Daphnia pulex: one gene and its partners. The protein of the gene in region 1 interacts with the protein of each later gene in a biochemical or structural test. Links are inferred from orthologs where the notes say so. Each region holds a gene or a part of one and is shown in the gene's direction. Other genes may lie near its edges. The genes, in order: protein arginine N-methyltransferase 5-like, serine/threonine-protein kinase RIO1-like and methylosome subunit pICln-like.

Region 1 (3,758 bases):
CACTTCCGGCATTCCGGCATTCCTTTTTCGTTTCAAAAATTGATTTATTTGTTGGTTTGTTTTTTTAGCTTTCCCCAATTTCACTAGCGGCCAGGTGGGGATGAATGGCGCCAACGGCGGGAGTGTCAGTCCCCTGGGTGGCAGCGGCAGCGTGACGGGTAGCGGATTGCGCCAGCAGGAAGGGCCGGAAGGATCCAACCTGTTCATCTACCACCTGCCGCAAGAGTTTGGCGACACGGACCTCTGTCAAGCCTTTTCGCCCTTTGGCAACATCCTATCAGCCAAAGTCTTTATCGACAAGCAGACCAATTTGTCAAAGTGTTTCGGTATTTCCATTTAATTTGACATGACATTATATTTTAATCGGAAAATTTTGATGAATTCTATTTCTCTTATTTTAGGTTTCGTGTCGTACGACAACCCGATGAGCTCCCAGGCGGCCATCCAAGCCATGAACGGCTTTCAAATCGGCACCAAACGGCTCAAAGTCCAGCTGAAACGTTCCAAAGACGCCTCGAAACCTTATTAAAAAAAAAGAAACAGAAAAACTCTCGGGGGGAGAGAAATAAATATTTTGAAATTCGAAAAAAAAATTAAAAAAAGAAAAAAATATTTTTTTGTTGATGTCACTGAACGCAACAAGCCACCGCCCCATTACAAAAAAAAAGAAACGTACAATTTTCAAATGACTGGACAAACACGCCTTGCCCCTTCCCCCTTTCTTGGTAGTAAGTTGGGAATTTTAAATTTTTTTTGTTTTCATTTTATTTTTTAAAAATAATTATTATTATTCAATTTGAAATGCGACCAAATAACCTAGTCACATTTATGGAAAAAAGTGCAAAGCCTATAAACATATCATGTGATTGGTTCTTCTTAAATTTCTTTATTTCACAAATATTTCACAAATAGAGAAAACAAATTGATTTAAACCTTTTTTTTTGAATTCTTCTCGATTCATTTTTCCCGCTCAAATTCAAATGATTGAAATTTTCTAGTCTATCTCAGGGTTTTGTCGTTGACTACATGTTTTAGCTGTAACGTTTTTGTCTCTCGTCTCTCGTATCGAATGTTGTTTTTGATTTGATTTTCTCTTCTTCTTCTAGGTTTCCTTGTGTCCGTGTGTCCGTGTGTGCACCACAACCAACCAACCAACCAACCACAAATTTAAAAAAAAACAATTTCAAACCTCCTCTCGTTTTCACGTTGTTTGTCAAACCTTTTTTTCTTTTTTTCATCGTGTATCTTACTCCCTGCGTGTCTCGTACGTGTGTTTTTGTCGTCCCCCATATAGACACAACAATTGTTTGGCGTCTCTGTCGTCGGAGAAGCGGACGAATATTTCATCCGCTTCTTTTCTTTTATTTGTTTTTCATTTACACGTGTCTTGTTCTTCTTTAATTGTTATGTTGAATCATAGTATATTACCAAATTATTGTAGAGAGATTACAAAAAGAAAGCTATTTCATGTTTGCCTCCCTTTTAAAAAAGAAAAGAAGAATTCAGCTAGGCCAGATGCCAAAATGTCGTTTGTTTGTTTCTTCAATTTTTATTTTTAGTTTTTCCATTTTTTGGATTATGTTTGATTATGTTCCGTGTCCCATTTGTTTGTGTGTCTTTTGATTGTTTTAGTTTTTTTCGATGTTGATTCGACATGGATGTAGTGATCAGCTAGTCTCACCCACACACACACGTATAGGTTATATATAATTATATTAATTTCTAATTTTTAAAAGTGACATTAATTCAATTCGAAAATACGAACGTGTATACCTCCCCCACCACCACCCACCATCGACTCTTCATTTCTGTTCGAACCGTTTGACAACAACAACAACAACACGCAAGATGTTGGAAACAAGGTGTGGCGCCGTGACACCTACATGTGCCTTTTTGTTTTGTTTTTTGTTCTTTTTGATCGAAATTTCCTCGGCAGTGACACGTACAGACGCACGCCCTAGTCATGCAACAAGAACACACACACACACGTCCGACGGCCAATTTACCACAAGTATCAAATGATCCCAAATGTCAGTGTGACGTGCAGATTTTTCGCAAGGACCGGCAAACATTTTTTGGCAACCAGGTGGACGTTATCCCCCAAAAAAGGACTTGACAAGCACCTAAACAAAAACTTGTATATCTCTAATTGTGTTTTTCTTCTTTCTTTTAATTCGATTGTCTTTTGTTCAAGTTCCAAGTGAAAATTTTTTGTTGTGTTGCAAAAAGTGATGTGACGGAGTTGTTTGCTGTTGTTGTTGTTGTTGTTGTCTGGTGGGCACGTGAGATCTCGTCGTTTCATATTTTTCTTCACACCCCATTTCCCACGTTTACCTTCGTTTGAGAAAAAACAACTACGGTTGGCGATTTTTGAAGCGTCAGACATTTTTCGATACTTAAAGAAAAACTAAAACAATTATGTTGCAAGACGCCAGCAAGAGAAATTCGCCCGTGTCTATTTTTTGAAAGAAACACACACAAACTCGTGACCTAATGAGCACTTGTTGATGGTAGTCATGTTTGTAGTATTCATTTTTCAGTTCTAATTAGACAAGTTCCTGCGAGAGAGAAGAAGAAGAAGAGAAATTTGAATTTCGGGTGGGATCGACGATGCCAAATTTTATTTTTGTTTTATTTGTACGACTTTTTTTTTTGTTTCATTTTTTTCACGTTTGCACCGCAAATTTAGACAAAAATTTGATGTTACAAATTGCGATTTTTTTTTGGAAATATTTGGTGTGGAATACTTTAAACGTGTTTCAGCATGTCGCAGAGCGATTTCATTTGCCCGTTTTTTATGATGATTTCCCCCCTCCCGAATGATGGCAGCCAAGTGAAACAGTTAATACAATATTTTAAATTAGCGTCTTTAAAATAAATGTCGATTTCAATTAAATTAAAAAACAAAAGTAGGTGTGCGAAAATCGTTTTTAAGAAAAGAAATCTGGCAACGCAGCCACTCAGAAGACCGACTACAAAAATGGCAAAACGTGTTTCGTGCGGTCTCGATTTCGTTTCCCCTGCCGATATTACAAATGCTCTACAAATCGCCACAGAATCCAAGTATTAATTTGATTCCCGAAATTAATTTCACAAGAAATTGCCCCAGTCACTTGTTGCTAACAGCGTAATACTTTTGATTTCGTCAGGTATGATTTCGCTGCACTGCCAATCGCCCATCCGAGACACAAAAGAGATTTCTCCGGAAATTCTCAAGCTCGACGTCTCTCAGCTTTCACTCGAGCTGATCTCATTCTGAACAGCTCAGGTATAAAAGATAAAAAAAGTATAAATGTGTGCCGAGTGATCCCCTAATTGAAAGTTGAATGATCTCATTTCAAGACTGGAGCACGCTCATTGTTGGAAAGATTTCTCCACACATTGATTTGGATCATGAAGACAAGTTGCTGCGGCAAGAATCTGAGAAAATGCTGGAGCAAGAGTTGTCCTTTGCTGGACATCTGGGTCTCCCCGCTGTCCTTGTCCCCTTGAGAAAGAACAACACAAATTTTGCCAGATTTATGCACAACAAAGTGTTGTCTTCACCGATGAATCAGGTATTTCATTACCAATATTTTCTTTTTGCAGACGATTCAATTATCACTTTGTGCCTAGGCCAGGTACCATGTTTGGCTCCACCTCCCCATGATTTCCCCGAAAATTGAGGCTAGTCTGTTTGAAAGGGATGTGGATGAAGAAGAAGTTGATGATACTTGGCATTGGTGGAATAACTTTCGCATTACTGCAAACTTTGAGAA
Region 2 (3,758 bases), on another chromosome or scaffold:
GGAGAGAAATGGCTGTGCAATAACTACAGCACGACGGACCGAACCGAACTGTCATGTATGCCGGAAATCCACGCCAGATGAGGGTTGAAAGAGTGGCAATCGATAAAACACGTACGACTCCCACGCCGTCACCAAGGTAACTCCCTACCTGTTCTCTCTCTTAGTTTTGATGGAAAGGCGACGCTCTCTTTGCGTAACTGAGCGACCAGCGACCTCAGCTGTTGTTGACGAATGCGTATTACCCAGCGCGATATTTCCACCATCAAACGCACAACACACACACGGATATTGGGTGCACAATTCAGATTCACACGCGCCATATTCTTTTAGTTGCGCTCTTACACTACACGTAGGGGGTCGTAAAATTGATTTTTCTTTTCTTTCTTTTATTCTATAGTGCAAGTGTATATGTAACACAATAGGTTTCCGGGGTCTATACGTTCGCCATTGTTTTTAAAAATAGGCAGGCAGGCAGCTAGGTAATCATTCAAGCGCAGCGGTGGTCAACCTTCAGTTTATTTATAGCTAGCCAACAATTCGTAAAGGGTACAACACGTCAACACTATTTCTTATTTATTTTAAATGTCGTGTCTACCGAATATTAACCAGCAGGCATGCTACATCGTTCATTTTCGCTTTGCTTTCACCTACTTTTAAATCATATCACTCAAGGAGTGCGTTTAGTCGGTCACGGAAAGAATATCAATCAAGTGTAGGCGCCTGTAGACTTTTTATTCAAAGAGTTACGTGGAAACGTAATCCTTCCTGTCTAATTCTACAAATGATATACAATCATACATCCATTGTACTAAAAGAATTACTAATTAATTTTCTCCTTTTTTTAAGGCGTCGAACAAATGAAAAAAGATTTGTTTTGTTTTTTTTTTAAATCCAGGTGTATTATATTAAAGAAAAAACAAATTTTAAATTACAGTTAACAACCTGATACAAATTAAGCAGCAAGCATTTGCAGATTTTCTCTTCTTTTTCTAATTTTGCCGTTGCGAAAAGAAGTATATATGCAATTGTTGGCAATGTTGCACACGATGTGGCAGACGAATTTTTATGACACATGAGAAAACAAATTTTATTTAACCATGGCAGTCCACGTGGATTTTTCTGATTCTTCTCCTGTTGAAGGACAATTTAGCGACGTTGAAGATGAAAAGTAATGCAATTTTTCATATTATCAAGTTATTTTAATGTAATTTAGTGCTTTTATCAGAGACTCGAACGTTGCTGAAGGTATTCGACAACTTAATCTTGAGACCAATGACGAAGTGCCGCCCGTCGATGAAAATAACGAAGTCTATTATTCAGACGATTCTGAAATGAGCGATGACGATTGTTACGATTGGCAATATGGTAACAACATAATGTTCAAAGCTTACTTTCAATTCGTTAACTGACAACATTTACTGCAGATCAGGGGCCTCAAATAAAAGTACAGGGAGCCCAACCCAACCAACAGACTAGTTCCAATAAAGTGGTTTCTTTCCAGCCAAGAGAAAAGCTATTCAAGAAATATTCCCAAAAGATTAATGTGGACGAGTTCAAAATGCCTTCGTTGCCAGGTGATGACAAGGTGCGTCTCAGAGACAAGGCAGACAGAGCTACTGCTGAGCAAGTTATGGATCCCCGGACAAGAATGATTCTGTTTAAATTAATGAACAGAGGATTTATCACTCAAATCAATGGTTGTATCTCCACTGGAAAAGAAGCCAATGTATATCATGCAACAGGAAAAGATGACACACATTTGGCCCTCAAAATTTATAAAACATCCATTCTTGTATTCAAAGACAGAGACAAATACGTCACAGGCGAGTTCAGGTAACCTTGACACCTTACAATCTTATTTTGTTTATGTTTGTGGCTCACTAGTTTTTTTTATTGCAGATTTCGACATGGTTATTGTAAGCACAATCCCCGTAAAATGGTTCGAACTTGGGCTGAAAAAGAATTGAGAAATTTATTGAGACTTGAAGCAGCTGGTTTACCATGTCCCAAACCAATTTTGCTGAGAAGTCATGTGTTGTTGATGACTTTCATTGGTGATGCTGGTTGGCCTGCCCCCCGACTAAAGGTATACTGAAAATATCCGATAGATTACACGGGTGTCGAGATTTAATTTGATGCTTTTATACTACAAGGAAGTTGAGCTGAGTGAATCGAAAGCCCGTGAGTTATATCGAGACACAATCATTTTGATGCGGCGAATGTTTCACGACTGCAGACTCGTTCACGCTGATCTCAGCGAATTCAACATGCTGTAAATTTTAAACTTGTGTGATTATTATAGACCCACGCTATTTATTATCTTAATTACCAATCCTAGGTATCATGAAGGATCATTGATCGTAATCGATGTGTCTCAATCAGTAGAACATGACCATCCGCATGCTCTTGAATTTCTTCGTAAGGATTGCACTAATATTACCGACTTCTTCAAAAGAAACGGAGTTTGCGTCATGACAGTTAAAGAACTTTTTGATTTTGTTGTTGATTTGACTATCAATGAAACCAATATTGAGGTATTTACAATTTGGAAAACACACTTGTATTTTTAGTGACACATTTTGAATTCCAGGACTACTTGGATAGAATGGCAACAGTTTCTTCCGAAAGAAATATTCAAGGAGAGTCTACAGCGGAAGATTTGGTGAAAGCAGAAGTCTTTAAACAGACATATATTCCTCAAAGATTAGATGAAGTGAGTGCGCGCCCTGGTTCATTTTCTTTCTTTTTCACTAACCTCAATATTCCGTCAGGTCATGTTCTTTGAACGAGACATTAGACAAATTAAAGCGGGAGAGAAAATTGAATTGAACTACGCGAATGTAACTGGAATTAAACCAGACTTGTCAGGCCCAAAGCAAGTTCCAGACATTTTGGATAATTCTATTGTGGACGGAACTAGCAGCGATGAGGCATCTGGTGAGTCTGATTCAGAAGATGGTGAAAAGAAACAATTTGTGAGCAGTGCACGACCTCGCGACGAATCCCCCAACAGTCGAAAGGTAAATTTTGCTGCTAGGTTTTTTAACGTCTAACTTTACCTTGAAATTCGTTTGGAATAGGAGAGGAAAAAGGCCATCAAGGCTGAGCAATCAGAAAAACGGAAGCAGAAAGTAAAGAAACACGTCAAGAAAAGAAAGGAAAAACTCGCCAACACCAAAAAGTAATTACCTTTTTTGATAAGTGTTTGCTGATGTATTTTTTCGACTCAAATAATATGGGAAATTTACCAAACCAGAAGGTTTTATTTTTTAATTCCTTATAAAATCACGAATCTTAAATGTGTATTGAATTCCCCGACCGAGATTAAACATATGATAGAAACTCTGAGATTACCTGAGAAAGAGTTATAGATCACAACAGATATGAGAGATAAACGTTGACTTTGGCATTCAACCCGTACATGATTCCATAATAACATTACGATACGTTAGCACTGATAAGAAAAATTAAAGCAGCAATAGCAACAACTGCTCCGAGTGATGCAGCACTAATTGGAACGAAGCACAATTTAGCCGTTCCTTTGTGACATGCAATGAATGTCATGAACGAATCCAATTTTTGAGCCGGAACATCTTGAAAGCCGAACGGACGAACACGTATCCTCATTCCTACAGAGCGCACGTTTCGACTTGCAGCAGTAACATACGCAGCCTGTGGTAAGGAAACAAATTCGAATTACTTTTCCTGTTGTTCTTTTGGATGTTAAGAGATCTTACAGAAACCAGTGGAGCTATGGA
Region 3 (2,553 bases), on another chromosome or scaffold:
ATTGTGTGTAAAAACCTCTCACTATTTTTTAACTAATGAAAATACCTTATGTTTTAAATCCATCAAAACATCAATATCTTTAAGAAACTGCAAGACAGCAACATCCTTTTTGTTGAGCTTTTGAAGTGCCAAAATCTTCTGGGTTTCACCAGAATATAAGTCATTTTCGTCAAATACAACTTGGCCTAGAATAGAAGTGAAATCATCCTTCACTTGATCAAGAGTAGAGGTGATCTCTAGTGGGTATCTGGGTTCACTCAACTGGAGACTTTGCACACCCTCAACAACAACAGCAACTGAAACTTCTGGGTAATTAAATGGATTCAAGACTGTAAGTCCATTCCACGAGTCACCCTGAAAACAGCAAATAATGGTATTGCTTCAAACTGATTTCATCATAGATACATCAAGTTGCAATATCACTCCTTCGTTTGGAACCAAACATATAGTTCCTAATCTACAAAGTTATAAATGAATGAAAGAACTTACAAAAGGTGTTGTGTGCCCCATTGCAGTGGAAATAATTTTTGGCAATTCACTTGTATTCAGCTGTTCATCTCCCCTAAAGTTGACTCCATTAGGGCTGTGCAAGATGCTGAACTCTCCATTTCCCAGGACTGCATTGCAACAAAACACTTCAAAAGCTGTAGTTTTCAATCGCTAGAAAATAATTACCTGAGGTTAATAGACAAAATACGCCGACAATTGATGCCACTTTCATCTTGCCTTCTTGTCTGGTCAACAGCAGCTGCAATTGCCTTTAGAAAAAGTTTGACAGTCTCGAGTCTCGTGACAGCTAAAGTCAGGTGATGTGTTCGTGGTTCATGATTTAGTCCCTAGATGACGTTTTCATTGCAGCCTACAATTTTTTTTTAAAACGTTGTGCTGCTGACAGCGTGATTCGAATCATATTTCATTTTCAAATTGTTGCTCTTCTTCTTTTCTGAATTCGTTAAATTTCTTAAAAAATGGTTGTATTATCTTCATTTCCTCCGCCTACCGAAGGAATCAAATTAGTTCAGCCTAATACTGGAGCTTTCATCAACACCAGAGACTTGGGCCAAGGAACATTATATATTGCAGAAAGGTTAATTTATATTTATATTCTATTTAAGTTTTCGATTACAAGAGTCACGGAAAAATAATTTTACCTATTCCAAACCATTTAGTCGTGTATCATGGGTTAGTGCCACATCTGGCCAGGGATTTTCGCTGGAATACCCCCACATATCGTTACATGCTGTTTCAAAAGATCCTTCTGCATTTCCACAGGAATGCTTGTACTTGATGTTGGATTCAAGGCTTGATGAACCCGGTAATACCCAATTCTATATTTATGTTTAAAATATCATTTGAGAAAATGTTATGTGAGATGTGTTCATGTTTCCAGGTTTGTCTGATTAAAGTTATATTTTTAAGATGAAGCTTTAGATAATCAAGATTCTGAGGATGAGGAATCTGAAACTGATATGTCTGAAGTAAGGTTTATTCCAGAAGATCGGGGACTTCTTGATGCCATGTACCATGCCATGACAATATGTCAAACACTCCATCCTGATCCTAATGATTCAATTTCAGATGGTAATATTTGACAAAAGGCAAAAGTTTTGCAGATTATTGTATTAACTTTTTTTTTTATTTAGAAGGAGATTTTGAAGATACTGAGGAAGGAGAATATTGCCTTGATGGAGCAGAAACAGCTGAAAATGGTAAATCTGATATAATTTCATTTAATTGATATCCGACAAATATTTATTGTTTTTCTCAATGTGCACCTCAATTGTTCGTAAGATCATGATAATGGTGAGGCGGAGAACATGGAGTCAGACATGGGTCAGTTTGAAGATGCCGATCCTGAACATTAACCGCACATATTTCCCTTATTCACGCTTTACTTACTATTGCTTTCTTTGAAATTTTAAATAATAAAACTTCAAAGCATAGGAGATAATTAATGTAAAACAATTTTTGGTGTCACCTCACTGTTCGATTGCCATGAACGCGAGTATTCTCGGTTAGTTAAAAAAAAAGAATGCGCCCGCTCCAATATTATGTGTAGATTTTAAGCGGGAAGCAAAAAAAAACTGTATGTGTGACAAAAAAAACAAGTTTAATAATCTTTAACTTAAAAATATCGCTGCCACAGTAAAGAAAGCATTGGTTTTCTTTAAAAAAAGAACTTCTTAAGGTAACTTGAAATGAAAAAAATGTGACGTGTTTCGACAAAGCGTGCAGAATGTTTAGCATTTTTTCTGAGGTAAAGCTTCGGTTGACGTTAACATTATGTGAACCTTCCACTAGAAAAGACAAGATCGATAACAGTAGTGCTACTCAAGAACGCCTTTTGTGGTCATGGTGGCGCTGTAGCTTGGGTTGTATCAAAGTTCAACGTTCTCAAGCCTCTCGGAAAGTCTCAATATTGATTCAGTCTCGAGTTTAGCGTCTCACGCATAGCACGACAGACTTTCTCCGCTACATCTCCCTCGGTGGTAATTATTCTCGGTACTCTGCGCCAGCGCCCCATTCCCTGACTTATCCCGCGAAAATGGCATT

The links.
Region 2: the proteins of protein arginine N-methyltransferase 5-like (region 1) and serine/threonine-protein kinase RIO1-like are reported together in a solved structure, tested with the Homo sapiens proteins (2 studies listed by BioGRID, with this or other methods). The link is inferred for Daphnia pulex from reciprocal best matches to the Homo sapiens genes PRMT5 and RIOK1.
Region 3: the proteins of protein arginine N-methyltransferase 5-like (region 1) and methylosome subunit pICln-like form a complex in vitro, tested with the Homo sapiens proteins (5 studies listed by BioGRID and IntAct, with this or other methods). The link is inferred for Daphnia pulex from reciprocal best matches to the Homo sapiens genes PRMT5 and CLNS1A.

Annotation. Positions count from the first base shown.
Region 1 is NC_060023.1:12,078,958-12,082,715, reverse strand, and holds the start of protein arginine N-methyltransferase 5-like, read left to right. Parts: upstream 1-1,292; 5' UTR 1,293-2,878; coding exon 2,879-3,063; intron 3,064-3,149; coding exon 3,150-3,268; intron 3,269-3,342; coding exon 3,343-3,557; intron 3,558-3,615; coding exon 3,616-3,758. Other genes in the region: CUGBP Elav-like family member 1, read left to right, coding at 69-326, 402-529. UniProt on the Homo sapiens protein: Arginine methyltransferase that can both catalyze the formation of omega-N monomethylarginine (MMA) and symmetrical dimethylarginine (sDMA), with a preference for the formation of MMA.
Region 2 is NC_060022.1:121,912-125,669, reverse strand, and holds serine/threonine-protein kinase RIO1-like, read left to right. Parts: upstream 1-1,037; 5' UTR 1,038-1,097; coding exon 1,098-1,168; intron 1,169-1,225; coding exon 1,226-1,365; intron 1,366-1,424; coding exon 1,425-1,833; intron 1,834-1,899; coding exon 1,900-2,086; intron 2,087-2,153; coding exon 2,154-2,272; intron 2,273-2,338; coding exon 2,339-2,534; intron 2,535-2,590; coding exon 2,591-2,713; intron 2,714-2,771; coding exon 2,772-3,020; intron 3,021-3,080; coding exon 3,081-3,185; 3' UTR 3,186-3,252; downstream 3,253-3,758. Other genes in the region: uncharacterized protein LOC124195509, read right to left, coding at 3,439-3,672, 3,738-3,758. UniProt on the Homo sapiens protein: Involved in the final steps of cytoplasmic maturation of the 40S ribosomal subunit. Involved in processing of 18S-E pre-rRNA to the mature 18S rRNA. Required for the recycling of NOB1 and PNO1 from the late 40S precursor.
Region 3 is NC_060018.1:1,925,742-1,928,294, forward strand, and holds methylosome subunit pICln-like, read left to right. Parts: upstream 1-781; 5' UTR 782-968; coding exon 969-1,087; intron 1,088-1,169; coding exon 1,170-1,315; intron 1,316-1,419; coding exon 1,420-1,581; intron 1,582-1,643; coding exon 1,644-1,709; intron 1,710-1,791; coding exon 1,792-1,865; 3' UTR 1,866-1,962; downstream 1,963-2,553. Other genes in the region: renin receptor-like, read right to left, coding at 46-354, 490-617, 676-721; sulfotransferase 1E1-like, read left to right, coding at 2,546-2,553. UniProt on the Homo sapiens protein: Involved in both the assembly of spliceosomal snRNPs and the methylation of Sm proteins.